Lytechinus pictus: one gene and its partners. The protein of the gene in region 2 purifies or fractionates together with the protein of the main gene of each other region. This does not show direct contact. Links are inferred from orthologs where the notes say so. Each region holds a gene or a part of one and is shown on either strand. Other genes may lie near its edges.

Region 1 (7,528 bases), on a different chromosome or scaffold from region 2:
TTTCAAAGATTAAAATAATTTCAAAAATTGAAATGTGGTTACAAAAGAGTTTTTCTTTTAATATGTTCTATTGAGACATATTTGATATGACTGTAAAGGAAATTTGCCATTTCAACATTTTTTTTCTTATTTTTCATGATTTCATGAATTTCTTATGTATTTCTATTGATTTTAATTTTTTTCATATATTTGCAATTTTTTCTGCTTCAATTATTTTCATTAATCAATATCTTAAGAAACTAAAGAAATGAGAAAAGGTGAATAAATCACTTTTTTTAGCACTCTTGAAATTTATTTTGCCCCATCGACTTTGTACACAAAATTGATTCCCCATTGACATTGTGTACAAATGTCCCGTATGTAACATTTTTGTAACAATTATTTAAAAAGTGAAATATATTTTGTAAACTTTTTGTATTATATCATTTTCGAACTCAGTAAATTAGAACTTCCTACAGACACAACAATACAGGTATTGTATTCTAAGAAATTCAACTAACTTAAAAAAAACGTCCTCAAAATGTTACGTATGAGACTTTCCATCCTTTGACTAGACCTAATTTGCATATAAAAATTAGGTGACACCACTATTTTCCCCAAAAAAGTAATAATATGTTGGGATGGGGAGGGGGTCCATGTCCCATCTATGATTAAATCTCACAAGTTTTGTTTTGATTCTTTATGAGTTTTTATAATTGTACAACCATAAGTAACGCCCATTTTACCAATTATGTAAATTAGGGGCCCCAAATTTGCCTAATGAAAAAATTTTCTTAATAAAATTTAAAAATTCAATATTTGGGCTTCTTTATCCAACCAAACATAACTTCTTGAAATAGAGATGAAATTTAGTCTCCAAAGCCAAAGGTGACCTTTTCTTGGACTTGCCCTTTATAGACGGGTCAATATATGGTTTGACGCGGAACAAATTGCAACAAATGATTTTTCAACTGTTTCTGGCAGTATTTGACCTCAGGAAAAACATACAAAAAATCTACCAAAATCTGCATCCGGGAAAGTGGTTATTTTCAAGATGGCGTCCAAGATGGCCACCATTCACTAAAAATTGATATAACTCACTCATTATCCACCCTAGAATCCTATTTGGGTTCATATTCCAAGGTCCAATGGGTAAACAATTTCATTTATACAAGTTAGAGTGAATATTAGCACTCCAGGGTACCAGGAAACTCCAAGATGGCGCCCAAAATGGCTGCCGTATTCTAAAAACCCCACAATCCATCTATTACTTAAGTGGCTTTAATTTGGGTTCAATTCGATTGTTTTAATGATGAAGTAGTTTATCGGGACAAGTTACAAGGACAGCCAGTGGTCTGGTGTGTCCAAAAATACAAAATGGCTTCCAAAAATTGAGTTTAAAATGGCTGTTCATCCTTAAAATGGGCATAGCTCATATCACATCTACCTGAGAGATATGATTTTTGTGCCTATACCATGGTTAAATGGGTCAAATAATAAATTGGGATAAGTTACAAGGACGATGGGTGGTCAAGTATGTCCAAAAGTCCACGGTGGCTTAAAAAATAGTATCAATTAGCTGCGATGGTATCTAAAAATGGACATAGTTCATGTTATATTCGTCAAGGGCATATGATTTTGTTGCCTATATCATGGTTTCAAAAGGAAGAAAATTAGCTACAAGGAAAGTCAGTGGTCCAGTATTTCGAAAATCTAAGAAAGCTTCCAAAAACCGGAGTCTAAAATGACTGCTGTTAATTTTAGAATGGACATTTAAATCCACCAAGGAGATATGATTTCGATGTCCACTATGGTTTCATGGTTAAAACAATACGTTTGGACTTGTTACATTGATATGCAGTTGTCCAGTTTGCCTAAAACACAAGAGGGTTTTTAAAAAAGGAATCTAAAACGACTCATATTTAATTGTGGTCAGAGTTCTACAATATTCATCTGTGAGAAAAAATGTTGGTGTCCAAATTGTGGTATGAAGGGTCAAATAATACAATCGGACAAGTAACAAGGATGGTTAGTACTCAATTTTGTCAAAGAATCCAGGACGGATTCTAAAATTTCATCAAAATTGGTGCTGTTACCAACTCATGAAACAATAATAACTTGTCCCCATGCATTTAAGTGTAAGAACCAAGATTATTTCTAACAGGTAGATAATTTACCTAACAGTAGTCACTTTAGAACCCCTTTTTTAAGCCAACTTGGATTTGGAGGCAAAATGGATAGCTGCATATCATGATAACCAGTCCCAAAGTATTGTTTGGCGCTTGAAATCCTAGTGTAGACACCAAAATAATATCCCCAAGGTGTATTTATAATGTTCTACATCCACTTTTAAGTAACAGCAGGCATTTAAGACCCCCATTTTAAAGGCCATCTTCGATTTTTGGATATACTTGACACCTGACTGTTTTTTCAACTTAACCCAATGTATTGCTTGACCATGTAAACCCTAGTATAGACAGCAAAATCATACCTCCAAGCCCAAGGTGTATTTATAATAAACTATGCATACTTTTAAGTAGCAACAGTCAATTTACACCCCATTTTTTAAAAGTAATCTTGGATTTTTTAACATACAGACAACTGACTGGTCTTGAAACTTACCCTAGTGTATTACTTGACATTTTTAAACCATGGTTGAACACCAAACTCATATCCCTAGACAGATATTAAACAAACTATATCCTTTTATAAGTAACATCATACATTTTTTTACTCCATTTTTGGAAGCCATCTTGTAATTTTGGACATACTAGACCACTGACTGCCATTGTCTTGTCCTAATATATAATTTGACCTTTGAAACCATAGTTTAGACACCAAAATCATATCTCACAGGCGGATTTAAAATGAGCTATGCCACTTTTAAGTATCAACAGCCATTTTAAAATCAGGTTTTATTTATTATTTATCTATTTATTGGTATATGCACATATATTTACCAGCAGCAGGGCTGAAAGGGTCAATTTACAATAATAATACAAAGTACAAAATAACATAAGTTACAGTAAGTATAATTTTGGCCAAATGATTGAATGGCATTGAAAGCCATATTGGATTTTTGGTCATACCAGACCACTGACTGGCCTTAAAACCTGTCTTATTATTATTTTGGCCCTTAGACCAGTGGTTTAGACACCAAAATCGCATCTCCCAGGCCGATATGAAATAAGCTATGTCCGCTTTAAGTAGCAGCAGTCAATTTAGTATCAATTTTTGGAAGCCAACTTCGATTTTTTGGACATGCCAGACCATTGACTGTCCTTGTAACTTATCCTAATATATTATTTGACCCTTGAAACCAGTGGTTTAGACATCAAAATCACATATCCCAGGCCAAAATGAAATGAGCTTTGTCCGCTTTAAGTATTAGCAGCCATTTCAGAATCAATTTTTGGAATCTATCGGGGATTTTTGCACATACCATACCACTGACTTTCCTTGAAACTTGTCCCAATGTATTATTTGACCCATTTAACCATGGTATAGACACACAAATCATATTTCTGGACATTGAGCAAACTATGTCGGGTTTTTTTAAGTAGCAACAGCAATTTCGACTCCATTTTTGGAAGCCATCTTGGATTTTTGAACACATTGGACCAATGACTGTCCTTGTAAATTGTCCCAATGTCTTATTTGACCATTGAAATCGTGGTCTAGACACCAAAAGCAGTATGTCCCAGGCGGATATGAAATGAACTATGTCCATTTTAATTATCAACAGCCATTTTAAACTCCATTTTTGGAAGCCATCTTGGATTTTTGGACACACCAGACCACTGGCTGTCCTTGTAACTTGTTTCAATGTACTATTTTACCCTTAAACCATTGAATAAAAAACAAATTTAGATGAATTGTGGATTTTCAGCCTACGGCAGCCATTTTGGGTGCCATCTTGGATTTGCCTGGTACACTGGAGGGATTATAATTCATTCTAGCCTAAATCAATTTTTTTTACCCCCAGACCATGGAATATGAACCGAATTAGGATTCTTGGGTGGATAATGTGTCAGTTGTATCCATTTTCAGTGAATGGCGGTCATCTTGGACGCCATCTTGAAAATAACCACTTTCCCGTATGCGGATTTTGGTAGATTTTTAGTATGTTATTCCTGAGGTCAAATAGTACAAAATACCGTTGAAAAATCATTTGTTGCAATTTGTTCCGGGTCAGGCTATTTTTGGTTGTATATTTACCCGTCTATTAATGGATAAGTTAGATCAGGTTTAATGTATAATTTGTATAATTTAGTAATTCAATATTCGTACAGTGTATACAGAGTCTCAAGACTATTAGGAAAGTACTTGTTTTGCTACTGAGTAACATAATTAATGCTGTGGTTTGAATGTATTGAGCTGAGTGGTCAGTTAGTGTGTTCTCATTCAAGTGTGCCTATATTACAAGACTATACAGCTCAGAATGCTGCATTATCCTGGCCAGATATGAGTAGTTGAGGACTTGTGGTGGCGCAATTATTTCCTTCCTTTTTTAAGACTAACATTATCATTTGGATTCTCTTTACTTTTAGCAGAGCACCTTACCATTTTCCAGGATTAAAAGCAGATAGAAGTCATGGCTGAAAAACCATCTCAAGGTCAAGGATCACCTGGTAGTATCCCTCGTGGGCTTATCAATAGACGAGGGAGTGTTATTAAACCCAGTGAAAGATTGCCTTCGCTACGCACTCGTGACCTAACTCTAGGAGGCATACCAAAGGTAATTATAGCCATTTTGATGTTAACACTTGGTATTTACTGCTTTTATCTAGTACATAAAGGTCACTGTATGGTTGGGTCGTTCGTCTATCCATTGCAAATCTTGTAGATCAAATAAAACTACTTCCTCTATTTTCACCTATGTTTATTAGACTTCACATGCAAATTGATCTTTGAGAGATCGAATGGGTCAGAAATTGTTGCTCTGGTGATGATATATTCAATTAGTGATATTTCTAGTTGTCCTAGTGACAAATTAATTTCTAATCTATCTTTTGCTTTCTCAATGGTGTGCTACCAAAAATTGAATTTTGTATATTTAAATGATCCAAGAGGAGAGGGATAATTGAGCAGTGAAATAATGTTTTATGTGTAGCAGTCTATAGAATAAAGAAAACTACATGTTGAATATTAGAAAGAAGTTCTATAAAATTTGAATGTAGTCCTGATAAGATTGTAAGTTTATATGTTTTGTTGTTTTCTTTGTCTGCAGAAATCTTTTAAGCCCAATATACCAGTAAGAAGAGAAAAAAACAAAGATGAGTAAGTATTATTCTTTTTTTTTTCTTTGTATATCAGACTTGTCAGTGTCAGCATTCCAGAAAAACATAAAACATGATTACCAGTACTAAACCATGAAAAGAATGAATTATACATTGCTATCAGAAAAGGCTGATCTTTGTAGATGCTTAATCAGTGGCGTACTGTGGGTCACGTCATTGGGGGGCACCAGCAAAAATTTTGAGTCACTTATACCGTGTTTACAAGTGCATCGGCTTTTGGTTTATCTTGCACCGCGTTTGTAACAGCTCACGGTGCAGAATCTGCTCGAGTAGCAAAAACCTGAAATGATCCACGCACCAACAATATACGTCATAATAAAGACAACGCTGGATCCGTGGGCTTCCAAGTACGTCATAATGGTAAAGTAAATGAAATGCACGCCAATTGCTTATGCAGAATTGGCTTTCTATTTACACGTAGAAAAAAAGCCGATTCTGTATAGGCTCGCGGTTCTGAACCTACTACTTTGGTGGTGCAAAATTGCTGATTCTGCACTGAGAGCCGATGCAAGTTAATCGCGTTTACACGCAACAAAAAAGCTGAATCTGCATCGGCTCGCTGTTCTGAATCGCGAGCTGATGCAGCGTGTAAATACAAATTTGGTGAGCATGCAAAGCGTGCTCAATTGCCAGGTATACTGACCTTAAATAGAGAGATTTTAAGGACTGTGCCATTAAGCGGATATATGTATCTCACTGATCAAATAATGCGAGCGCGAAGCACGAGCTAAAATTTTTTTATATTCAGACCTAAAAAAGGACATTATAAGCAAATTTTTGTGTAATAATAATACGTACCTGTCTCGCTAAACAAACAATGCGAGCGAGAAGCTTGAGCTGAAATTTTTGTATTTATTGACCCCAAACAGGGACAGTTTAAGGACTATTTTTTAAGAAGTTTAGGATATACATATCTCACCATAGTCATCTAATGCGAGTGCCAAGCGCCTTCTGATTTTGTTAGAATTACATCTAAACACATAGTCATTGTAATCGTGATTAACATACGCATCTCACTAATCAAATATAGCTAGCGCAAAGCGCGAGCTCAAAATTAAGGAAATTCAGACCTGGAGAGTGGCATTCTAAGGCTTGTTTGTAGAAATTCACTAAGACCATACTAACCAAATGATGCGAGCGCGAACCGCAATCTGAAAAACTTTGATATTTAGATCAGAAAAAAGAGATATTTTAAGCCCCCATTCCACAGAGAACAAGACCGCTGAAAGACCTATGTACCACCATGAATTCTGGTTGATCTTTCAGAGGTCTCTCAATGAACCTACAATGGTCTTTGAGGTCTTACACGAGTCCTGACCAATCTTTCAGTGGTCTTCGTGGTGTTCATGGGCTCCAAAACTTTTTGAAATGGTTCAAAACAGTCTTAAAACGGTCTTACAGGAAAATGGCATTTCAGTGGTCTTTCAGCAGTCTTCCAGCAGTCTTTCGATGAACTTTCAAAGGTCTTAATAGTCTTTCAATGATCTTTCGGCAGTCTCTCAAGATTTTTGCGGAGATCACTGTAAGATTCATGAGAGATCATTAAAAGATCATTGAAAGACCAGGCAAAGTCCATTGAAAAAATTCAGAAAGATCACTTGTTGCATAAAAGATCTCTGAAAGACCATTGAAAGATCTCTATGGGACTAGTCTAAGACCAGTAAGACAAGAAATATCCATGAGTCTTTCAGAGTTCTTTGAGGGGTCTTTCTTAGCCATTCCACAGAGAAGACAAATTTCAGTGATCTTGAAGACCGCTGGAAGACCTCACCAATTTCAAGTTTTTCAGTGGTCTTTCAATGGTCTCCGTTCTGTGGAATGTGGGCCTTAACAACTGATTTTAGGAATTCATGAAGAGCAGACATATCTCACCAATCCACTAATGCGAACGTAAGCACGGACAGGGAATGTTTTATATGCAGACCTTAAAATGTGGCAATCAATTTAAGTAGTCATGAAAAAGAAGGATATGTCACTATATAAAACAATTAAATAATAACTCGAAGTGCGAGGAAATATATTTGGTGTATATTGACTTGAAAAAAATATGTTTTAGAATTATATATCTCGTTAAACAGACAATGCGAGACCAGGAACGATGAACACAATAGGCCCTGAGCAAAGTATGTTTCATAAAGTTATGAAAAAAAATATTTCTTATGATGTACGGTAATAACATAATATATACAGTATAATAATAATATAACATTATAATGTACAATATTTTCTTCATTCCCATTACGTTTCTC
Region 2 (7,914 bases):
AGTCTGGACTCTAATAGATACTGTTGCTTCTTCAGATCATTCATCATTTTCTGTACATCTGATAAAAGAGAGTAATACTTTCATTTCTTTTTTTTTCATTGTCTCGTCTTACTTTTCTGCTACTAGGGTTGGTTCAGCAGGGACAATATGTGTGGTTGGGAGCGATTTCACTCCCAAAATGCTCAAGAGCCCTGAAAAAGCCCCAGAAATTCCCCATTCACTGCAACGTTATTAAAACTTATTCAATGTTGCAGATTTGAGCAATTGGTTGTGAAAAATAGCCCCCCCCCCCCAAATATATATATTTTCCAGTATGCAAAAACAAATTTCTAGTCGTTTATCACTGTGCTAAAGAAGTCATCTCACTATTTCATCTCCTGTGACTCTTTACTACCAGTAATATTACTACCAGCAAAACTCTTATATGAAATAAGGCTATGAAATGGAAAAAAGGTTAATGCATATCATTAACCTGAATTCACATTGTTATTGGAGAGCAGGGGAACTCCCCTCCACCTTTGAAATGTGGATGGTCACAGAGAAGTCTCTCAAACCTTCACTCTAAATCAGACCTTTGGACAAGACCCGCTTATCTACTCACATGATTTCCTCCTATCGATGATCTGACAGGCTTGTGTGGCTGAACGCTCTGCAAACCAGTTATCACCAAGGAGAACGAGTATCTCATTGGTATGGATCAACTGACCAGGCATGAAGGCTAACTTGCCAAAGGGAACCTGTAGAAAGACAACACGGTAAAAGACAGAAAGAGATGGAAGTGTAAGGGGGAAGTAAAAAAAACAGATATATGGACAAGAAAAAAAAAACAGAGAGATGATAAAGAGAAAGTCAGGAGGAGGAAACAATAATACTTGAATGAATTTGCACCTGAGGCTAGAAAATAAAACAATTTTTATTCACTTGTCAACAAAAGTTCAAATCTCAAATTTATTTGGTGGTGAGGTGGGAATGGATTCAACACATAAGCCACGCCAGCATAGATCTGTGTCACAAAATTAGTTACAGGATAAATTTTGTGGCCTCAAACTTATTACAAACTTCATATTAACTTTCAAAGAATGAATACTATCAGGAAAACAGAAAAAATGAAAAACAAACAAAGATTGATTATAAAAAAATGTATTTACTAGTGTATATTTGATTTCTTACCATAACTTCATGTGAAACTTTTTCAGGTAACGTTGTCAGTCTGGCCTTGAGAGCTGAATAGTCTTCATCAAACTTTTGCCATTGCTGTAATTTGTCTTTAGTCTCAAACAAGGCTTTCTCTTCTTCTTCCTTCAGGCGACCAATATGAGCAAGATCACCTCCTCTCGCCATTATACAACCTGCATGATAACAACCAAATAAATAATAAATTTCTAATCTCATACTCTAGAATGTATTCTTCTGAGAGACCTAGCTGTGCTTCTCCTGGTCACCAAATTTTTCTACTCTCTAAAGTTCTGGCAAAACAAAATGTAGTGTACAATCGTATTTGCAAGTTGTTACTGAGGAAGAATAAAGAAATACTATCTATACCCAGACAATCGATTTTAAGCAGCCATTTGGAAAAGTTAAACAAGCAAAGTTTTGTCAATTTTTCATACAAAGTGTTAAGTAATATTACAGAGAATGAAATTGAAGATTACAACCATTAAATTCTAGTGTAATCAAAAGACAAAAAATAAGCGTGGAGCGTTGTGGCCCAGTGGATTAGTCTTCGGACTTTGAAACAGAGGGTCGTGGGTTCAAATCCCAGACGAATGCACGATCTCCCACAGTTATCTTTGTGTTACGAGTGGGGATGAGAAGGAGCAAATTATCGTGAGAACTGCACAGGTTATGAGTGTGTATAGACCTGTGAACTTTGCGTCGTAAAAGCTCAGAAATATAGTTGGGGGCTTGGCTAATTAGTTCCTTGTATACAATTAACAAAATCTTGAAAGATATTCGTTGGCGAACTGGAAGCCAGTGCAAATCTTTTACGATAGGGATGATCCTGGAAAATCTAAGTTGACAACAAATCAGTCGTGCACATGTGTTCTTTACTCGCTGAAGATGCCCAATGTGAGACGATGGGAGCCCAGACAGCAAACTGTTACAATAATCTAGCTTACTAATAATGCATGCATGGACAATATTGTTTTCACACTTTCATAATTAAAGTAATTTTGTACAATTTTGTATATCATACGAAATGACGATTTACACACATTTGTAATATTTTTTTTCCATAGTCAATTGTGAGTGAAAATATACTCCCAAGATTTCTTACATTAGAATTTGGTTCTATGACTTAACTGCCAACTGATATCCTGTCAAAATCTAGCTGTTTAGATGTACTGATAACTAGCAATTCTGTATTACTGTCATTTTTTTTAATAGCATAAGTTTATTGTGCAGCATCCATTCACGTATGTAATCAACACATTCTTCCAGGAGAGAGATGCTCTGCTGCTGAGCAAGTAAGTCTGGTGTGAAAGACAAATAAACCTGTGTGTCATCTGCATAGCAGTGGCAAGATACTTACTAAATTTACTATGGATATTTGTAATTAGTTGACTTGTGTATAGAGTGAATACCCTTGAGGGACTCCGAAAGGTACTGAGAAAATTTCAGAAACAGTTTCATAAATTTTGATTTGTTGACATCTGTCAGTTAAATGATTACCAAACCTTTATGCCAAAGTGTTTCTTTAGTGCATGCAATAGGTTAGTATGATCAATAGCATCAAATGCACTACTAAGGTCTAATAAAAGTAATAAGGTGACTTTCTTTCTTATCATCCATATCCATGAGAATATCACTCTTGAGTCATAATTCTTAACAGTGTCGTTCAGTACTGTGATACTGCCTGTAGACTGACTTATTACTTGGAACAAGGTAGTTGCAGTCGAGATGATTCATTATTTGCGTATATACAGCACCTTCTACAAGCTTTGATACATACCTCAGATTACTAACAGGCTGATGATTACAATTTTTTTCTTCCAAACCAGGTTTATTCAATAATAGTTGAACTACAGTGCGTCCCAAAAAAAACTATACACTTTTGAAATGGCTGCCAAATAAAAAAATGTACCACTTTGGGGGAAAAGACTTATAGATATGGAAAGCCTATAAAGTCAACTTTCAAATGACACCAAAAAGTTGGAAAACTATTCATGCTTGAGCGAGCACTGCCCACTGAAACAAAGGGTATGAAAATTAGGGTGGGCTGGAATTAGCCTTCCAATTTCTTTCAGTTTTTTTTGTTTGGTACTTGCAAAGTTGATGGTTATTTGGTGAATTAAAGATCAGTTGTGATCAGTTTGTTGTTTGTGAAAATTTAATGCGTTATTAAATCGAAATTTAATGCATGAGTGATCATGAATTGGGTGCAGCATTTTGTCTTATCATGTGGGTCTCAACAATGTGTTCACGACAGTCAGGAGAAGAGGGGGTAATATGACTTAGGTAGGTGAAGTACGTTGGTGGGATAAAGGTCAACAGAACATTTAGCAACCCCTCTCTCAATCTCACCCCCCCCCCCCCCCCCCCGCTTATCTCCCCCTGAGAGACTAATATGCTCAGCTAAAGTAGGATGGGCAGGAATTAGCCTTACAGTTTTTTTGAGTGGTTAGTCCTTTGGAACTTGTTAAGCTAAATTAATGAGTGAGATAAGTTTTGGTTTCTTAGGCAAATTTCATGAGTTACTAAATTGAAATTTAATGCATGAGTGAACAGGAATTGTAATTTTATTGTTGCATATTTATCTTGTGAACCTCAGCAGTGTGTTCGTGAGAGTCAGAGTAATGTGATGGTACCCGTTACAAGCAAGAGGGCGAGATATGCTAAGACTTGGTTAAAAGGGCATTCCTCTTCTTTTTTTTCCTTTTACAAATTAAAAGTCATATGTACCCTCCCCTCTCCACCTCCATTTCCCAGCCCCCCTCTCTCTGTCTCACTTCCTGCATCATTTGTAGCCTATTCAAAACTTAACTGCCAAGTGACCGGTGGCTGATGGTCAGTTTTTTTTTCAATGATTACCAAGAAATTTAATGATTATGATGATTAATGAAATAATTAATTGAAAAAAAACTGAATGTTTGATTGATCACATTGCACATTGAATAAGTTGATTTACTGATAAATTGTTGATTAAATGATTGATAGGAAAAAGTTGATGTCCCAATTCAGAATTAATCATTAAATCAACATTCTGCTCTGGACTTCACGCGTACATGACAATAGCCATCAGTCTCTCAACAGGAGGGAGGGCGGGAGAGAGGGAGGGGCGGGGGCTGAATGTTCTGTTGACCCTTATTCCATCAACCTACTTCTCTGACTTAAGTCCTATCTCACCCCCTATTCTCCCGACGCCCATGAACACATTGCTGAGATCCACATGATAAATTTGAAATGCTGCCCAAAAAGAGATCCAAATGATAAAGTTTAAATGCTCCCCAAAAGTTGTAACTTGTGTTCACTCATGCATTAAAGTTCAATTTAATAATTTACTTAAAATTTGCTTAAGCAACCAAAACTGGTCATGGTTGATCATTAATTTATCACATCGCCCTTAACTTTGCAAGTTCGAAAGGATTTGCCTCTCAAAAACTTACATAAATCGGAAGGCTAATTCCAGCCCACCCTAATTTTCATACCCTTTGTTTCAGTGGGCAGTGCTCGCTCAAGCATGAATAGTTTTCCAACTTTTTGGTGTCATTTGAAAGTTGACTTTATTGGCTTTCCATATATGTAAGTCTTTTCCCCCAAAGTGCTACATTTTTTATTTGGCAGCCATTTCAAAAGTGTATAGTTTTTTTTGGGACGCACTGTAGAGCAGTTTTCCAGAGTGAAGGGAAATGACCAGATGACAATTCAAGATTAATTAGAAATGTGATGGTGGGAATCAGTGTGTCAATACGCTGTAGAAGAATCTTTGTGGGCATTGGGTCTGATGCACAAGACTTTTTACTGAACTTGGTTATAGGTTTTTTAACTTGGTTGGAAATCCTTTTTTTTCCTTGCTCTGAAAGAAGAGTAAATTTCATAAAGTCAGGTTTTCGTGGATCTGCATGACTTTCTTATGAAAAAAATTGCCTAAATCATTCACAAAGCACTGTTTGTTACTAGTGATGCATGATGTAACAGATTGCTTATTTGCAATATTCAACAGAGACTTCACAACTCAAAACTGCTTATGATCACCTTTGTTTTCCATAACTAAACCATTGTGATGGATTCTTCAAGCTCATGTAACATACATGTATGCAACATGTGTTTGTGAAGTGACTTATACCCATTCCAATCGCTCTCCATCCTAGAGTTTAAGTTTTAACCGATGCTTTTCAACATTCCTTTTCTGTATTTTTGCGATCCTTACATTATCAGTGAATAAAGGCAATTGGGGTCACAGAACAACTATATTACATGTTCTGCATGCATGTTTATCTAAGATACTATTTAGTGTAATGTATCATATAATGAGGCGAATTCTTAAAGATCACAAGCTGTATGTTTGCAAAGATTATTATCGGCTATATCAAGCTTCTTCGTAAAAATATCTATTACTCCAAGCCTACGGAATGAAATTACTTTAGAAGTGGAGGTTTGTAGGAATTAAAGAGTACACATAACAGGAATATGATCGCACAAAAGTGTGTCCAAGGTTTGCCGATTATAATTTCATCTACCTGTCGATAAATCAAGTCAAGGGTATGACCATGAATAAGTGTACTAAAATCAACCAGTTGTGTACACAAAAAGAGACTGGAGCAGATCCGAGAAAGAACTTGCCTCTGCAGCTCTGCTTTGACAGTATCCACATGGATATTACAATCTTTAAAGGAGAATGAAACCCTTGAAACCAGCTGAATCCATATCAAAGAGAAAAATCAAAGAAACATATTGTTGAAAGTTTGAGGAAGATTGAATGAATAATAAGAAAGTTATGAGCATTTGAATGTCGAGATCACTAATGCCATGTAGATCCTCCAATTGGCAATGCGATTATGCGACCAAGATCTGTGATGTCACACACGTACAACTCCCTCATTACTTTAGTACTTATTTCACTTATATTCTCACTTTTATAGAGTCTATCACAAGGTGAGGTGTTCTCTTTATGAGAGGACAAGTACAGAGGTTTCACAACATTACATCATTGATGAATCGTTTGTCATATGATTAGAATGAGCAAAAAGAGATGTTTTGGGGTATATTTTCAGTGTCCAAAACTGGGGAGAGTTGTTCATCTGTGACATCATAGATCTTGGTCGCATTGCCAATGGGAGGATCTCCATAGCATTAGTGATCTCGACATGGGGATTATGGTGAAATGTCAGAATTGTTAAGGAAATCCCCAGAAACGTAGCCTGGAGGCGTCTGGGGAGTGAAAGTATATACTGTACGTATGGTCACTCCCCTAACGCCTGGCATTGTGATGCATAGAGTCCTACCTACCGAGGGAAAAGGCAACTATAAAAATGCGCCAAACTGCTAGTTATGTTTAGAATCTGAGGTCACGACTGCTGTACATGGGTCACAATATTGGTTGGCAACGTTTGGCAAAAAATGCGTAGTAATGGTTAAAAAATGACGAATAAATTATATGAAGTAATAAAAGTAGAAGAGAGTTTACTTACACTTGTTGACATCGCCATCTTTGATCCTTTGTAATTGCAACCTAGTTACGTGACGCGTATAGAGGGCGGCAAAATCATGAGCGGTGCTAGATTAAAAAGTGCTAAAATGTCCCGCTTCAACCACTGAACTAGAAATACATAGAGAAAACATATTGCATCTTGCCTTCTACGGCGTTTGGCGGCGGTCACGTGGCTTATCGAGTTCGCCGCCGGCGATGTTTTGCTTGGGTGTACACGACTTCCACGTATTTCTAGTTCAGTGGTTGAAGCAGGACATTTTAGCACTTTTTAATCTAGCATCTAGGGAGCTCCCGCCCGCGCAGTGGGCGGGAGCCCAGGGGCTTACCGTGTATTTGGCCATTGTCACCGGACTAGGGTGATTTATGGTCTAAATATTTCTCCAAATGAATTGTGAAAACAGAAAGTATACAATTACCACGATTATATGGATGAAGGTCTAACGAGTGGCAGTTTCCTGACATCTGGGCACAGACTGGAACCTCAAAAAAACGAAAAGTTCTCTCCTCTACCCCAGTCTCGATCGGCCATTTTGTTACGATTTTTAACAAAAATGGCCGATCGAAACGGGGGTAGAAGGAGAGAACTTTTCGTTTTTTTGAGGTTCCAGTCTGTGCCCACTCATGGGATCAATGCATCTCGCGTGCGAAGGATTCATATGCACATGGTGCACGCGAATCTTTCACACACTTTTTACTAAAATAACTATGCCATTCCATTTAAATAATGTTTCTAATTGTGCTACATGTATGACACTTACCGAACCATATGGATCGTTTCTTGACTTCTCTTTGGTGTGTTTTTTAATAAAATAAAAGCATTTTCTCGTGATCTTCACGTAGATGCCGCAGTATGATCGTGGGTATCAACTTTTAATATTATTCACAAGACGTTTGTTTACGATCTGCAGCTTGTACTGCTAGCTGCATTTTAGATGCTCAGCATTATTTTCCTGTTTCTGTTTTTTTTTTTTTTTTTTTTTTGCTGTCAAGTGGTATTTTCGATTGTAGTGCCATCAGCGATGATGAAATGTAAAGAGTCGCCTTGAAATGAAGAAAAATTGTGTCACATTAATTCGTTAGTTTGTTTCCTATTTTTTTGCCCTTTTTCTTCTTCCTCATCTATGATCAAAGGTGAATACCTTTTTTTGATATCTGTTCTAAAAGCTGGACATTTTAAATATTTTGTTCAAATAAATAAATCAACAGGATAGTAATCAAAATGCGATAGAGCTGCCCGAGCTGAAAATCCTGATGATACAAGG
Region 3 (6,967 bases), on a different chromosome or scaffold from region 2:
AGTGAGATACGTTTTGGTTTCTTAGGCAAATTTAATGAGTTACTAAATTGAAATTTGATGCATGAGTGAACAGGAATTGTAATTCTAGCATTTTAAGTTTATCAATTTCTCAGAGCAATACATAAAACAAGATTGCAAAAATGGTGAAAAAATTATAACTTTTACCTTATTTATCATTTAAATGACAAAAAATGCTTAAAATATCATCATATAACATAGTTTTGCATAAACAATTGATATATTTTCTGACCGAAATATGGGCCTGATTTGCCAAATTTCAATCACGTCAGCTCCTTCGATCAAATGTTGAGGTGTGGTGCATTGTGGGTGATCGTCGACGGAGTTCTCAAGGGAGCCGTCGACGAGCGACGGCGCATTGATAGAACTTGATGAGCATCACGAAAGTGCCATGGAACATGCAGTTAAAAATAACATTAGTTCTAGTTAGAATACACAAATTTATTACCAACATCTGCTCAGATTCGATATAAAAAAAGCAAACAAAAACTTAGAATTTACTCATGATATATGAAGAAAAAATCGCACAAATTCTTTCTTACATCAATATAGGCCTAATGAACGATATCTTTACTCGTCCGGAATCATGATGTAATTCGTCGCGCACGAAAATTGTTTTTTGTGGAGGGGTAATGTTGTAAATCGGATCAAAAATCAGATCGAAAATCGGATCGGCAGTTAAGCTTCTAAAATCGAAATCGAATCAAAAATCGAATCGGCGATGTTTAAAAACAAAGGAATACATCAAAATGTTGTTCGCGGTCGCGCGCATCTTCCTGACAAAGTCACAAAGACGAATGCATTGGAATGGAAGTCGCCAACATGCGCGATCATTTGGAACATGTTTTAAAGCCAGGGGTTTTGAGGTGTTATTGCTTTAAAATAAACCGAGTGATTTTTATTAGAAAGATAAACGAAAGACGCATCTTCCGAGCAAAGGCGCAAAGGAAAATAAAATGAAAATATTTCTCATAGATCACAGGTTAATGAATGATCGGCGGGACATCTTTTAGAAGTATTTTTAGGTGCTAGCGATTTAGAATTATTGGAATGATCTCTTACGACGCATCATCTTAAAGTCGCAAGTGCAATTAAAATGAAGTAGAAGACGCAAGCACGCACGATGATTTGAAATATGTTATTAAAATGTTTTGGGTAGCTAGCGTTTTCAAATCAATTTGAAGTTCACGGCGGGGTCCGCTATCACCACGAGGTTGAAGAGAAGATATCATAAAGGGGGTAAGAGAGTAGCGCAGTGAGCTCCGTCGGTAATACGACCTTTCAAAGTTCACGGCGGCACCCGCTATCACCACGAGGTTGAAAATAAAATGTATATCATCATAAACGATGTAAGAGAGTAACTCAATAAGCTCCGTCAATAGTACAGTCTTTAAAGGAGAATGAAACCCTTGGAGCCAGTTAGCTTTTGTGAAAGCAGAAAAATCAAAGAATAAGATCAACAAAAGTTTGAGTAAAATAGGACTAGCAATAGAAGAGTTATGAGCATTTGAATGTCGAGATCACTAATGCTATGGAGATCCTCCCATTGGCAATGCGACCAAGATCTATGATGTCACAGATGAACAACTCTCTCCTTTTGGACACTGAAAATATACCCCAAAACATCTCTTTTTGCTCATTCTAATCATATGACAAACGATTCATCAATGATATAATGTTGTGAAACCTATGTACTTGTCCTCTCATAAAGAGAACACCTCACCTTGTGATAGATAAAGTGAGAATATAGGTAAAATAAGTACTAAAGTAATGAGGGAGTTGTACGTGTGTGACATCACAGATCTTGGTCGCATTGCCAATGGTAGGATCTACATGGCATTAGTGATCTCAATATTCAAATGCTCATAACTTTCTTATTATTCATTCAATCTTCCTCAAACTTTCAACAATATGTTTATATCATTGATGAATCGTTTGTCATATATGATTAGAATGAGCAAAAAGAGATGTTTTGGGGTATATTTTCAGTGTCCAAATGGGAGAGTTGTACGTGTGTGACATCACAGATCTTGGTCGCATTGCCAATGGGAGGATCTCCATAGCATTAGTGATCTCGACATTCAAATGCTCATAACTCTTTTATTGCTAGTCCTATTTTTCTCAAAGTTTTGTTGATCTTATTCTTTGATTTTTCTGCTTTCACAAAAGCTAACTTGCTCCAAGAGTTTCATTCTCCTTTAATGATCTTTAGAATGTTTGCCACAAATTAGTGAAAGATATTTGTTGAAATATTAAAATTGGGATAGTTTTTATTGTTTGAAAACAAAGTGCGTAGCTTTAGGTCCCCCCATCATACAGTCTTTAAAAGTTTATGGCGGGGTCCGCTATCACCACGAGGTTGAAGAGAAGATTTATATCATTATAAAGGGGGTAAGAGAGTAGCGCAGTGAGCTCCGTCGGTAATACGACCTTTCAAAGTTCACGGCGGCATCCGCTATCACCACGAGGTTGAAAATAAAATGTATATAGGCCTAATCATAAACGATGTAAGAGAGTAACGCAGTGCTAGTGAGCTCCGTCGGTAATATAAGACCTTTCAAAGTTCACGGCGGCATCCGCTATCACCATGAGTTGGAAGAGAAGATATCTATCCTCTTAGTCTTATACATCGCCATAGATAATACCGCGTCTTTCTCCCTGAAAAATTAGTAGAACATGTATTGTATTTGTAACGTCGTTAGAAACAAAAATCATACCATGATTTTTTAAAAATCTTATCCAAAAAATAGTATTAGTACCGGTATGGCCTAACGTTAGGCTTCATTATAAAAATATTTACCAGTATATTATTATCAATATTAGGCCCTAAATCTACTTACATTGTCAACTCCATGTTCAAGCAGCCGCACGCGTGTTTTGGAATCTTCAATGTGAGGAGCAGCCATGATATGACTGATGATGGATGATCGGCCGACTACAACATAGATCTGTGAAACACGTGCTCGAAGATACGCACCAGATCAGAGCAGCGGATCCTTGCTGGGTCTACTACCCGATTGAGGCCGGTGTAGCGGCGGATTTGGTTCCACCGGCGGATACCGTATCCGCCGGCAGATATCGTTCTTAATGGCCGATATCGTTTTTAATCGGAACCATATCCGCCGGGTTTGACGCGGCTTGATGTTTGCAGATTTGGTTCCTCGGCGGATTTGGTTCTATTGATTATACGTGTAATATTGATTTGGACAGACAACCTCGGCAGCGCGCGCATGCGCGGCTCGGCAATGTCGATCGCAGGGGGGGATTTTCGTCCGCCTTTAGTGAATTTTTATTCAGGGGCGGATCCATACAGCTTTTGACAAAGGGCTCGATGGGGGTGAGGATTAATAGGAGAAATAATGTCTCGATATGTATTACGTAGACCTAGCTGACACACCATACAACTATGCTATTTATTATTATAAGATTTTGATGAAATTTTCATCATTTTGTTTTGTGAATTTTTATACTATTTTCAGTCCGCAGTATGCATCGATCTCTTTAACTGTGCTTTTTCACACCATGTTTAGTGTCAGTTTGCCAGACTGTTTGGCGAAAATTTGCACCCCCATATAGGCCTATAGGTTTTTGAAACTACAAATTTTTAGAAAAATTTCAACAAGTTAAAATTTTCATATTTCAAATAAATGATTCAAATTAGTGTATGAAAATATTTTTTTTGCTGTTAACTCATATTATTGCTTGTAGAATGCTAATTTTTGGTGAAAACAAAATTTTTTTATTTCTAACAAACATAAAAGGAATGTCAGAACATGATTAATTTCTTATGTAGTTTATTGAAGGCCTATCTTTAAATTTTCATGTATTTTTTTTAATTTGTTTTTTTTTTTATTCTTTTTTTTTCAATGTTAAGGAATCTGAATTAATTTATTTGATTTGATTTGATTTATTGTTTTTTCTGCATCCATGGAACATTCGTATAATACATTTTCCATAACATAATAAACATAATATTATGTTAGCATTTTTGGCATGAATCATAAATAAAGTGTACTAAAAAAATTATTCCAGACAAAAATGATTAACTAACAAATTATTATATGATATTCACAATTTGCAGGAGAAGGATTGTCATCATAAGCAGATTGCTTGAAGAAAAATGACAATCCCAAACTAAAACTAATTAAATTAATTTATGCATTTATAAAGCAGAATTGGCATATATATTTTTAAATACGAAACATCAACTCATGCAATATTTTTAGTATGAAGATGAAGATGATAAAGGTGAGGGTGACGGTGATATGATGATGATGATGATGATTGAAGGGGACCGGAAGATCACCCTGACAAAAGTTAGATACGCCACGTACTGTTTGGTGCTCCCTAATTTACCTCTCAGTCATCAAATTTTAAGATCAATATGGGATCTTTAGTGAAATATAATTTCTCCTTTATATCTTTTGTTTCTTTTACTTAACTCCTCCTGGTTTTCATCTCTTTATTTTTTTTGCCTTTCTTTCTGTCCCTGCTCATTTCGCCCCTTTTGCCTCTTTTCCAGTTTCCTATATCGTTCTTGCACATTATGAATATATCTGGGGCGTATACGCGAGGGTAATATAGCACAAAAAATGAGAAATATAAAGAGGAAGGGGAGGGAGAGAAAAATAGAAAAAATATACGAGAAAATGTGGAGGAAATAATAATAATACATTGTAATTTCGTAATTCAAGAATTTCATTTGCAGTGATCATTATTTATACAAATTTATACAAATACTGATTTTAATTATCGAAACTGCCATTGTTTGTCTTTATTTAATACTCTGTATTAATCATAATTGATGCATATTGTGCCCAATTTATCCCCAAAATTGTGATAAGAAGGACTTTTCATACTGCAATAAATTAATAGGTATAAAATAAATTAACAAATGCATGTTATTAGACTACAAGCATTATCATATCATGGGGTAAATTCTTTGTATACTAGTAGTGCAGTAGACATTGAAAGTTGAATGAAGACTAAATGTGGACTATTTAAAGACCCAGACCAAACCCCAAAAGTTGACAAATCAGTCAAATCGAAAGCTATTAATTCAAACTAAAAACAGAAATGCAAGTTTTATGCAGTCATCGCTTACAGCTGAATATTTTGCTTAAGAATAACTCCAATTATCAGGTTTCGAAAATATACTTTCTTGTAAATATGCTTTCACCGGCCTCGCACCGAGACCGTGACGTCATGTAGTGTTAGAAGTGGTGTAATTCCCGTAGAGTTGTAACAAGAAAATGGGTTATTTTCCCCTTTCAGATTACGCATTTTATTTCTTCACTTCTATCACATAGAGATATCATGAATATATTTTTCTGCAAGCTTTAATTGATGAAATCTACCGCTTTTTGACTAGTTTTCTCGTACCACGTGACGTATGTGAATGAAGGATATCGCAAGAACGATATCTTCCGAAGAGAGTGGCCTTTCTTGGTACTGAATCCGCCGGAGGAGAACCATATCCGCCGGCGGATTTGGTGCCTAGAACAGTATCTGCCAGGCGCAGGATCCGCCGGTACACCGGCCGCGCCGGGGCCAAGCGCTTGAACTAGCTTCCCGGCTTCGCTAGTGCTCGCACCGGCTCGCACGGTAGTACACCAGAAAGGGGGAGGGGGCCGGGGCCGTGGGGGGGGGGGGGGAACTCGGAGGCTGGGAATTGGATAGGAAGAGTCCATTATATTAGAGGTTAAAAACTTCCAATGCAAAATAGGCATCTATTTAAAAGTTATATATTTGATTGATGATAGCAGGTATCTTCGACTGCTTAACTACTAAATGTATCGATTTTGTCATTCTCAAACTAAGGAGTAATATTGACACTAGTAATGTAGATTATTAAAAAAAAAAAATCATTTTCGCATGGTACAGAACCGTACCGTACCCCATATCAAAGTAATCAATCACCTTTCCATTTCCGGACTGATTCCGAGACGCCCTCCGATTGACAGAGCAGAAAGAATAATGGTAATTGTCTTCTTTTGTGGTAGTTTTGGACATTACAAAACATAGTTTCTTGTTTGATGTCGGTTAAAGTTATTTTTACATTAATTTTAGTCCAAATTTGATTGCTCTGTTGAAGTATTTGCCAACTTTATTTTCCCCGATTTTATTAAATGGCCCCACACGTTCGATTTTGTGTAGCCTACCTAGCCTGGAGGCTTCTGGATCTGGGGAGTAAAAGTCATCTACTATATGTAGGCTTACTCAGCCAGGCGGCTTCTAGAGAGTAAAAATCATTTACTAACGTAAGGTTACTCTCATACGAAGCCAGGCCTTCTATCTCATAGACCCACACAAAGCTAGGAAGCCAAAACCTGAAACTTTCACCCACGAGATTTCTACTTTCCTTCTTCTAAATCTAAGTTCTAAAAAGATCTAGCTCTAAGTACAATAAGAAACAAGATGGCGGCGTAAACATCGGGCAAGTCTCTTCCGTCTTTTCACAATATTTTTTCATTTTTTTGATGAATTCTTGTTTTAAAAATAACAACGAGAGCGTAGAAATGTCGGAAATGAAGTTTTATCCCATTTACATGATTTAGAGCTAGATCTTGTTTTAGAAGGAAAGTAGGAATCTCGGGGGCGAAAGTTTCAGGGTTTCTTGCGGTACACGCAGATGAATGGGGAGGACTGCCTGGCTTCGTATGAGAGTAACCTTACGTTAGTAAATGATTTTTACTCTCTAGACATGCTAGAAGCCGCCTGGCTAGCCGAGGGATCATTCCTCTCTGTAGAGGCTAGGATTTCCCACGGTTACAGTAGATCTAAATCACAGATTGTATAAATCGTTTTGAGCCCGAACTAAAGTAAATGGGCCAAAACAATATCCCCCCCCCCCCCGAATTAACCCAGGGAGCCCAGGGGCTTGCCGTGTATTTGACCATACTCACGGGACTAGGGTGATTTATGGTCTAAATATTTCTCCAAATGAATT
Region 4 (7,511 bases), about 23 Mb from region 2:
ATGATTTAGCATGTTTAACATCTTAGTTTTGTTTGTCTTGTTTTTTTTTGCTGAATGTTTTTTAACACGTTTTTTACCTTACTTAATTTCTTTTAAAGAAATTTGTTGTTTATCTTTAATGAGAAAGCATGAGGGGTCGGCTAAAGAGATGTAGTGCCGCCCATTTTAAGTATTTCATGTTTATTTTTTTAATAGAAAAGGGGTGGGGATAAGACGGAGGGAGAATAGAAGAAAACATATTTTAAAAAATATTTGGCCCTATACATTACCCCCGGGAATAATACATGTACCCCGGAGAAGTTAAAATGACATCCGTTTTTTGCCGTGCAAAAAGACGACCTGAAATTGATGACAACTAGCCCCCATATAAAAAATAACTTGGCGCCATCCCAGATCAAATGCATCAGAGTGCAACCAAAAAAATGTTTAGAGGTGATATGTCAGTGTGGCTTGCCGTAAATGCATTTTCTCTCAATACCGACGGTGGCGGGCGGTGTGCAAAGATCATGCCTACGTAGGACATGTCTGGAGGTGTCTTTCCAAGGACCATTCTTCGTATCGCCCAAATTGGTTTTGTGAAACAGTTGAGCGATATCTCGTTCTTACGTAGAATGGTTCTACGAAAGACCCTTTCATGCAACAGGCCCCTGACATCTGGGCACAGTCTGGAACCTCAAAAAAACGAAAAGTTCTCTCCTTCTACCCAGTCTCGATCGGCCATATTGTTACGATTTTTAACAAAAATGGCCGATCGAGACGGGGTAGAAGGAGAGAACTTTTCGTTTTTTTCAGGTTCCAGACTGTGCCCAGATGTCAGGAATCTGCCACTCGTTAGACCTTCATCCATATAATCGTGGTAATTGTATACTTTCTGTTTTCACAATTCATTTTGAGAAATATTTAGACCATAAATCACCCTAGTCCGGTGACAATGGTAAAATACACGGTAAGCTTCTGGGCTCCCGCCCGCTGCGCGGGCGGGAGCTCTCTGCCTGGGTTATTCTTGAAGTTGAAGTTAAATTTTCAGGTGATCAGACATGCCCCTCCCCCCCCCCCCCCTTCATAGTACCAACCCAGGCCAGGGGCCCCCAAACTCCAAGGAAACTTTCTATATCTCTTTGCAAAATTTAGAGAAAATTACATGATTTAACTGTGGAACGTCCCAAGACAATTTTCACGTTAAAGTCCCTGGCGACTACGCTCATGCGCAATTTGGATACGAGAATCACGGTAATGTGTCATCGCCCGTTTACTTGCGTGCATACACATATCGCACGCATTAAAACTAATAACAGTGCCGTTTGGCAATGACTCCGGGATTTATAAAGCATCTTGGGACTTGGACATTTGAACGACATTTTGTATTTTAAAAATAGTGTATGAATGTGAGGAGAAAAATATCAAATGTCACTCGGACTTTTCTTTCTTATTTACCTGTAAGATTCACAGCGTATAACCACCGGCCTTGTGAAAAATCAAGACTCCAGACAGACCACGCATGTTTGCAAAGCAGATCGTAGATAGATGCATACGCGTTATTTTAGGCCAGGGGGCCGGGCGGGGAGGCCCAGGGGGGGGGGGGGGTGGGTGTAAATGCGTGATGGTATTTTTTACTACAAGTATTTTTTTAATGGGTTGGTCTCCTAGTACAGGTTCAACAAGTCCCTCCCCCTTTAAACTATTACTTCTGTAAAAAAAATTATCAGACAGGCGCGGTAGAGACGCGGTCGAGTTGTTTAATTATAGAAAAAAACCAAAAATATTTACATACAGTGGTACGTACATGACCTTTTTTTTTTTTTGGGGGGGGGGCTTAATGTTTTGTTTTATGTATGTGTTACCTGTAGTACCGGAGGAGACAAAGCATTGGGGGGGGGGGCACTGCATTGTCTGTGAACAATGCTGTGCCCCCCCCCCCCCCCCAATGCTTTGTCTCCTCCGAGTCACGGTCCGCCACTGTGTTCTACTATACATTTCGGCGCACCAGAATGCTTTCAGTTTTGAGCTAGGGGCCGGGGGAATCTTGAAGGGGTACAATTTTTGGACAGTGACGGACGCGAGGCTACCATAATAGTTCACTAAATTTACTTGTTAATACAATATTGTAACTTAATTATTCGGTACTGGGGCGAAAATTTTTAATTTTTAAGTTACAAAATGACAATTTTCGTGCCTATAATGCTTTTGTCTTTAATTTAATTTCTTGTTGTTATTGTTATGTTGTTGTAATGGCTGGGGGGGGGGGCAGTCCAACTCCCCCCCCCCCCGGTGGAGCTAATAATTTCCCACCACAATAATAGCAGTGAAGGTCGAGGAGACCAAATTTGGTATTTCTATTATTTTAAAGTAAGTTTGGCTATTTGAATGCACAGCTAGGGTTGGCGATTTTTTTTATTTAAAAAAAATCAACAAAATCTTATTTATTTGATTTAAATCAGATTTTTTCAATCGGATTGATTTAATATTTTTTAAATATTTTTAAACAAAAATTTCTCAAACAAAGTGGAAACACCAAAAATATAATCCTTACACTAAAATCATTATCAAAATCATCCATTTCGCAAATAAGATTATTATTAACTCATATTCTATTTCATAATGATTAATATATCTAGTCAAAATAGAATTTATATAGAATATTCAAAGTCATGATGAAGATGCTGTTTTCTGCATCATCTCGTGTAAGGTATTTAGCTCCTACTGACTGATTTGGGCCTTAATTAGTACAGCCAACTGCAAAGTTAGTATTCCTATTCAAACATGAAATGTGGATCTGTTTCTTTAATTGAAAGAATTCCATGACTCAGAGACTCACATTCTCCAAAAAGAAACATACTCGATTTTCAAGCCAATTAAGGACTGAAAATCATGTATTAAAGAATACTACTTTCTTGTTCATATTTTGTTTAATGTGAGCCACGGTTGGAGTTTTTTTTTAGCATTGTAAAAAAAACTGTAGGCCTATTGAGAAAAAGTTGCAAGTTTATTTAAATTATTTCTGTTAGTACAATCAAGGAAGTGGGAGGTTTCTGGTACAATAAATCTGAAATTACTTAATTGGCAGTTAGCAGTTTTTGCTAAAAACGCCAGGTTCTACAGCTTTAAATACATGTAAAAGAATAAAATGTTATATCAATGCATGGGATAAAACCAGGGACAATATATATTTATAATCTCCATATTTTGTGAGACAATACAAAAACTATAAGTCTAGTGTACAATAATCTGAATAAAGATTTTACATAAAACACACACAAAAACAAAACAACAACGAAACAAAACAAAAAATGTGAAGGGAGAGCAGCCAAATTAAAACCAATCTACTTTATATTTTAACCATAATGGCATCATGATATATTTTGTAATATTAGATGTATTACTATAAAATCATTCCAATACCATATTATAAATCATTTTAATATGCAAAATGAGCACTATATTATAGCAAGGTAATCATATTGATGTTTTTTTAATTTCAATTGATGGATAAGGATCAGTGGGAGAAATAGTTTGAAGAAAGAAAAAAAAATCACTTAAGTGAAATTGACTCAAACAAACAACTGGGAAAATGTTCCCATTTTGTATGGTGTAGAGTCAATTTATCCTTTCTTTTTGCCTTTTCATATTCAATTTGTTTTGACCTTTTAATGGCACTGCATATTTCTTTACATGTAGGGACAGCGGCGTACCAGGATTTTCCAAAAGGGGAGGCAAATTTTTTGGAGGATATTTCGTCCGCGAAAAAATTTGACAAGAAAAAAAAAAAAGGTCTTCAACCACAAATAAAGGATTTCGTACCAGAAAAAAAATTGACAAGCAAAAAAAAATTAAAATGATATAAACCGACCCCGAAACCGATCTCCTCCTTCTTTATTCCTTTTTTCCCGTCTACCTATATAGTGTGTGGATCATTTTATTTCTTATTTGTGATCCTTATTTCTACTGGATTACCTACCGGCATGTTTGTTATTACAATTATTCTTTTTAATCATGGTTTTATAGTCTCTATCTTGATTAAACTTGTAAATGTGTAAGCCTATGTCACTGTTAACTGTTTGTTTGACCCCAAGGAATGCCAGACTGTGCCAGTCGAGCTGAATGTGGGTTAATTCTCTTCTTTCATGGCCGGGGCAGAAATGTATTATTGCCCCCTCATAATTTCATGCTAAATACAATGCCTATTTAATTTTCCGCATTTATGATATTGCTGTATACTGTAATTTTATTTGTTCTGCCAAGACCTACCTCAAAAGAGAGCTAAAAAGTAAAAAAATAAAATAAAAAAAGGGGAAAAAAGGGGGAGGGAAACCCTCAACATTCATCGGCAAAATTAGTATTTTTATAAGCCAGTAAGGGATTTTCCCTCGAAAATATTAAATCCACTCTGATTTCAATCTGCAGCTATATCATAGAGATATTAGTATATTATATATCTAATTATGAGCTATAGATTTAGCTTTCAAAAAACCTTTCTGCATTTTTAATATGCGGATCGCATATCGATCACTATGGCGTTCCATGTAAACCACATGTGTTGGTCGCTTGAATTGAGTAGCTCCGATAGTGGAAACTGGAAAACATCTGAACTTTTGTCGGCGAAGCTAAGTTTTCTTGCAAGTAAGAACATTACAATATTCGCAGTTCACTGTAATTTTTGTAGCTGATGATGATGATGTTATAATTTGGTTAAAGTGATCATTTATCAAGAGTTGAAGATGTCATTCTTACCCGGGATCTTTCCAACAAATCCCATCGCCGATGGCATCGGGGCTTCAGTGGAGCGGCCTCGGAGCGGATCGGGGTGGCAACAGTGTGCGGTACCGTATTACCGTCTCTAACCCGAAGGTGTTCAGATTATGGAGCGCCAAGTGTTTCCTTCATTCATTTATTCAACCTTTGTTTAAGCTAAACAATGTTACAAATTTTGGCCAAAATCCACCCATGAGTTCATTGCATTAACTGTGTCTGTGAAAATTGTGGGCACAAACATACAAACAAATGCATTGTGGATAAAAGTTTAAAACTACATTTTCACAAACCTCTAGCCTATCTAGGCTCTATTCTATTTGAAAAAAAAATAACAAAAAGTTAAAAGATGACTGATTTCAATTTGTACATGTTGTATGGAAACTGAAAACTTACCAAGTATGAAGACCTTCCCACATTTTTTAAATGAGTGTTTATTGTTTACTGATAATATTTCATTCTGTTTCGTAGGTGAGCTGGAAAAAGAGTCCAATGTGTATCATGTACCCTACACAAAAAACAAAACAAACAAAAGGACACTTATTCCATGAACAAGGTTATGATAGGATGTTAATTCCAGGGTAACCAGATTTCACAAAATGAAATACAGGACATTCGACAAAATAGATCAACAAAGAAGGCTTAAAAAATATTAAGAAATGGAAGGGAGGGTGAACGAAAGAATGACAGAGAGAAAGAAAAGACGAAAGAAAAGAGATAAATTGAGAAGAAAGGAAAAAAAATAAGAAAGAAAAACAGAGAAAAAAGGATTCCATCATTCTTTGAATTGAATATCTATAGAAAGAAAGGAAGGGAAGATGAATAAATGTGTGAAAGACAAAAAGGATGGAAAGAAAGTAAGAAAAAAGAAGGAAAGAAAGAATGAAGGAGAGATATGTTTCCTTCATTCTTCGAAAGAACGAAACAAACAAAAGAAGAAAAACAGGAAGGAAGGGAGGGAAAGAAAGAATAAGGGAAAAAAATAGAAGGAAAGATAAAATGAAGAATGAAAGAAAGAAGGAGGAAATCGAGGGAGGAAAGAATGAAGGGAGGAGAGAATGAAAAAAAGAAGAAGAAATATAATGGAAGGAGAGAAAGAACGAAAAGGAGAGGAAGGGAGAAGGAAACAGAAATGTTTAAGGAAAGAAAGAATGAAGGAAAAAGGAAATTTAATAAAAAAGGCAGGTAAGAGAAAGAAGGAAAGATAAAAATATGGGACGATCCCGGGAAATACGGGACGTCTGGTCACCCTGGTTAAGTCTTACGGTGTACACGGTTAAGTCTTCCGGTTTCACTCTCGAAACCTTGATTTAAAAAGTTCTGTAATTTTTTTGGGGGACTAAAACTCGCCTCAATGGAACTGCATTAAAACCAGTGTTTACTAGATCTATGCCATTGAGAGAATGCTGATAGCAGGAGTGCTTTTTAGCAATGGTGTTGGAGTGTGTAATTGAGTTTTGTCATACGTGTATCAATCAGATATGATTATTTACGCCTGGGACCAACCTTTAATGTCACCATCAGAATAACATGACCTCTGCATCAATATGTAACTTCCTCACATAGCTTGGATTACAGGCGCATTTTTTTACACATGTGACATGATCACAAGAACATCGCCAGGTAATGTTTATCATACACTATGAGACTTAACATTCATTTGCATTTTTTTTTCACATTCTGTTTTTCCAGTAACATTAACAAGATGCCGCGTTATGCTCAGATTGTGATGGGACCAGCCGGTAGTGGAAAAGTAAGTATTTGTCCACAAATCTGAAAGGATTAAGTCCACCATCAAATTAAGAAGAAAATGAAAGAAACATTTCAAGATAGGGTTGATGAAAATCTATGGTGTCACTTATAATGTGCTCTGTCATAAGCCTTACTTTATGCTTTGTACCAGGGGCAGCGCTATAATATTTTGGCGGGGACAATATGACCTGTCAACATATTTTTTCTTGATTGAATTATTGCTAGGGTCTTATGCATTTATGTATTATAGAGTTACATGGCCTAGAATTAGTTGTTACTCATCCCCCTTCTTTCTTTCCTATCCTCCATCTTCTTTTTTTCTCTCACTTCATTCCCAAAGTTTGTATAGTAGGACAGAAGGGGTGTTCTTTTGTGTACCTTGAGGAGCCGTATTATAATTGTTCATATTTGTTCCCAGCTTCATTGTGAATTATTTTACTTTTCAACTTTTCAAGCCACATAACAAATTTATATTGAGATATGCTGTCATATCAAGAAAATATAATTTGCAAAGACTGCAGTAATTTCCAGTTCTAAATCTAAGCACTGCTAGGTGATAGGGCAGGGAGTAATTTTCCTGGTATCGCATCGCAATTTGCTCTACAGTTTTGAAAGACTGCTATGCATTAAGTCTTTTGTATAGACTATTTTTACATAAGACTGTACATTACTTATTTGAGAGCTTTTCTCTTAAGACCAAAAATGCTATTCAAATTTGTAAAGCATAAATTATTCCCTGTAGGGAGCCTCCTAGATTTACTTTAATTTTGTTGTAAATCATTGAGAGCTAATCAGTGTATAATAGTGAATTACAGACATACATGTAAGTCAACATTTTGTATTTGATTTTTTATTGTAGTCAACATACTGCAGTAATCTCCAGAAACACTGTGAGACGATAGGGAGACAAGTTCATGTGGTCAACTTAGATCCTGCAGCAGAATATTTTGATTATCAGACTGTAGCAGGTAAACTTTGTGTGAAATGTGCTCATTTTTGGAGTAGAAGCCCTG

Evidence for each region. Proteins that work in one complex are often made in the same cells at the same time.
Region 1: the proteins of unconventional prefoldin RPB5 interactor-like (region 2) and DNA-directed RNA polymerase III subunit RPC4-like purify together in Homo sapiens (affinity purification with mass spectrometry; 3 studies listed by BioGRID and IntAct, with this or other methods). This does not show direct contact. The link is inferred for Lytechinus pictus from reciprocal best matches to the Homo sapiens genes URI1 and POLR3D.
Region 3: the proteins of unconventional prefoldin RPB5 interactor-like (region 2) and DNA-directed RNA polymerases I and III subunit RPAC1-like purify together in Homo sapiens (affinity purification with mass spectrometry; 4 studies listed by BioGRID and IntAct, with this or other methods). This does not show direct contact. The link is inferred for Lytechinus pictus from reciprocal best matches to the Homo sapiens genes URI1 and POLR1C.
Region 4: the proteins of unconventional prefoldin RPB5 interactor-like (region 2) and GPN-loop GTPase 3-like purify together in Homo sapiens (affinity purification with mass spectrometry; 3 studies listed by BioGRID and IntAct, with this or other methods). This does not show direct contact. The link is inferred for Lytechinus pictus from reciprocal best matches to the Homo sapiens genes URI1 and GPN3.

What each region holds. Positions count from the first base shown.
Region 1 is NC_087247.1:56,498,643-56,506,170, reverse strand, and holds the start of DNA-directed RNA polymerase III subunit RPC4-like, read left to right. Parts: upstream 1-4,527; 5' UTR 4,528-4,573; coding exon 4,574-4,717; intron 4,718-5,209; coding exon 5,210-5,259; intron 5,260-7,528. UniProt on the Homo sapiens protein: DNA-dependent RNA polymerase catalyzes the transcription of DNA into RNA using the four ribonucleoside triphosphates as substrates.
Region 2 is NC_087246.1:39,025,366-39,033,279, reverse strand, and holds the start of unconventional prefoldin RPB5 interactor-like, read right to left. Parts: upstream 3,024-7,914; 5' UTR 1,393-3,023; coding exon 1,171-1,392; intron 738-1,170; coding exon 602-737; intron 59-601; coding exon 1-58. UniProt on the Homo sapiens protein: Involved in gene transcription regulation. Acts as a transcriptional repressor in concert with the corepressor UXT to regulate androgen receptor (AR) transcription.
Region 3 is NC_087251.1:7,256,265-7,263,231, forward strand, and holds the start of DNA-directed RNA polymerases I and III subunit RPAC1-like, read right to left. Parts: upstream 3,002-6,967; 5' UTR 2,859-3,001; intron 1-2,858. Other genes in the region: AP-2 complex subunit sigma, read left to right, coding at 5,893-5,997. UniProt on the Homo sapiens protein: DNA-dependent RNA polymerase catalyzes the transcription of DNA into RNA using the four ribonucleoside triphosphates as substrates.
Region 4 is NC_087246.1:16,028,183-16,035,693, forward strand, and holds the start of GPN-loop GTPase 3-like, read left to right. Parts: upstream 1-4,510; 5' UTR 4,511-4,617; intron 4,618-4,728; exon of another isoform or gene 4,729-4,863; intron 4,864-6,438; 5' UTR 6,439-6,451; coding exon 6,452-6,499; intron 6,500-7,357; coding exon 7,358-7,466; intron 7,467-7,511. UniProt on the Homo sapiens protein: Small GTPase required for proper localization of RNA polymerase II (RNAPII). May act at an RNAP assembly step prior to nuclear import.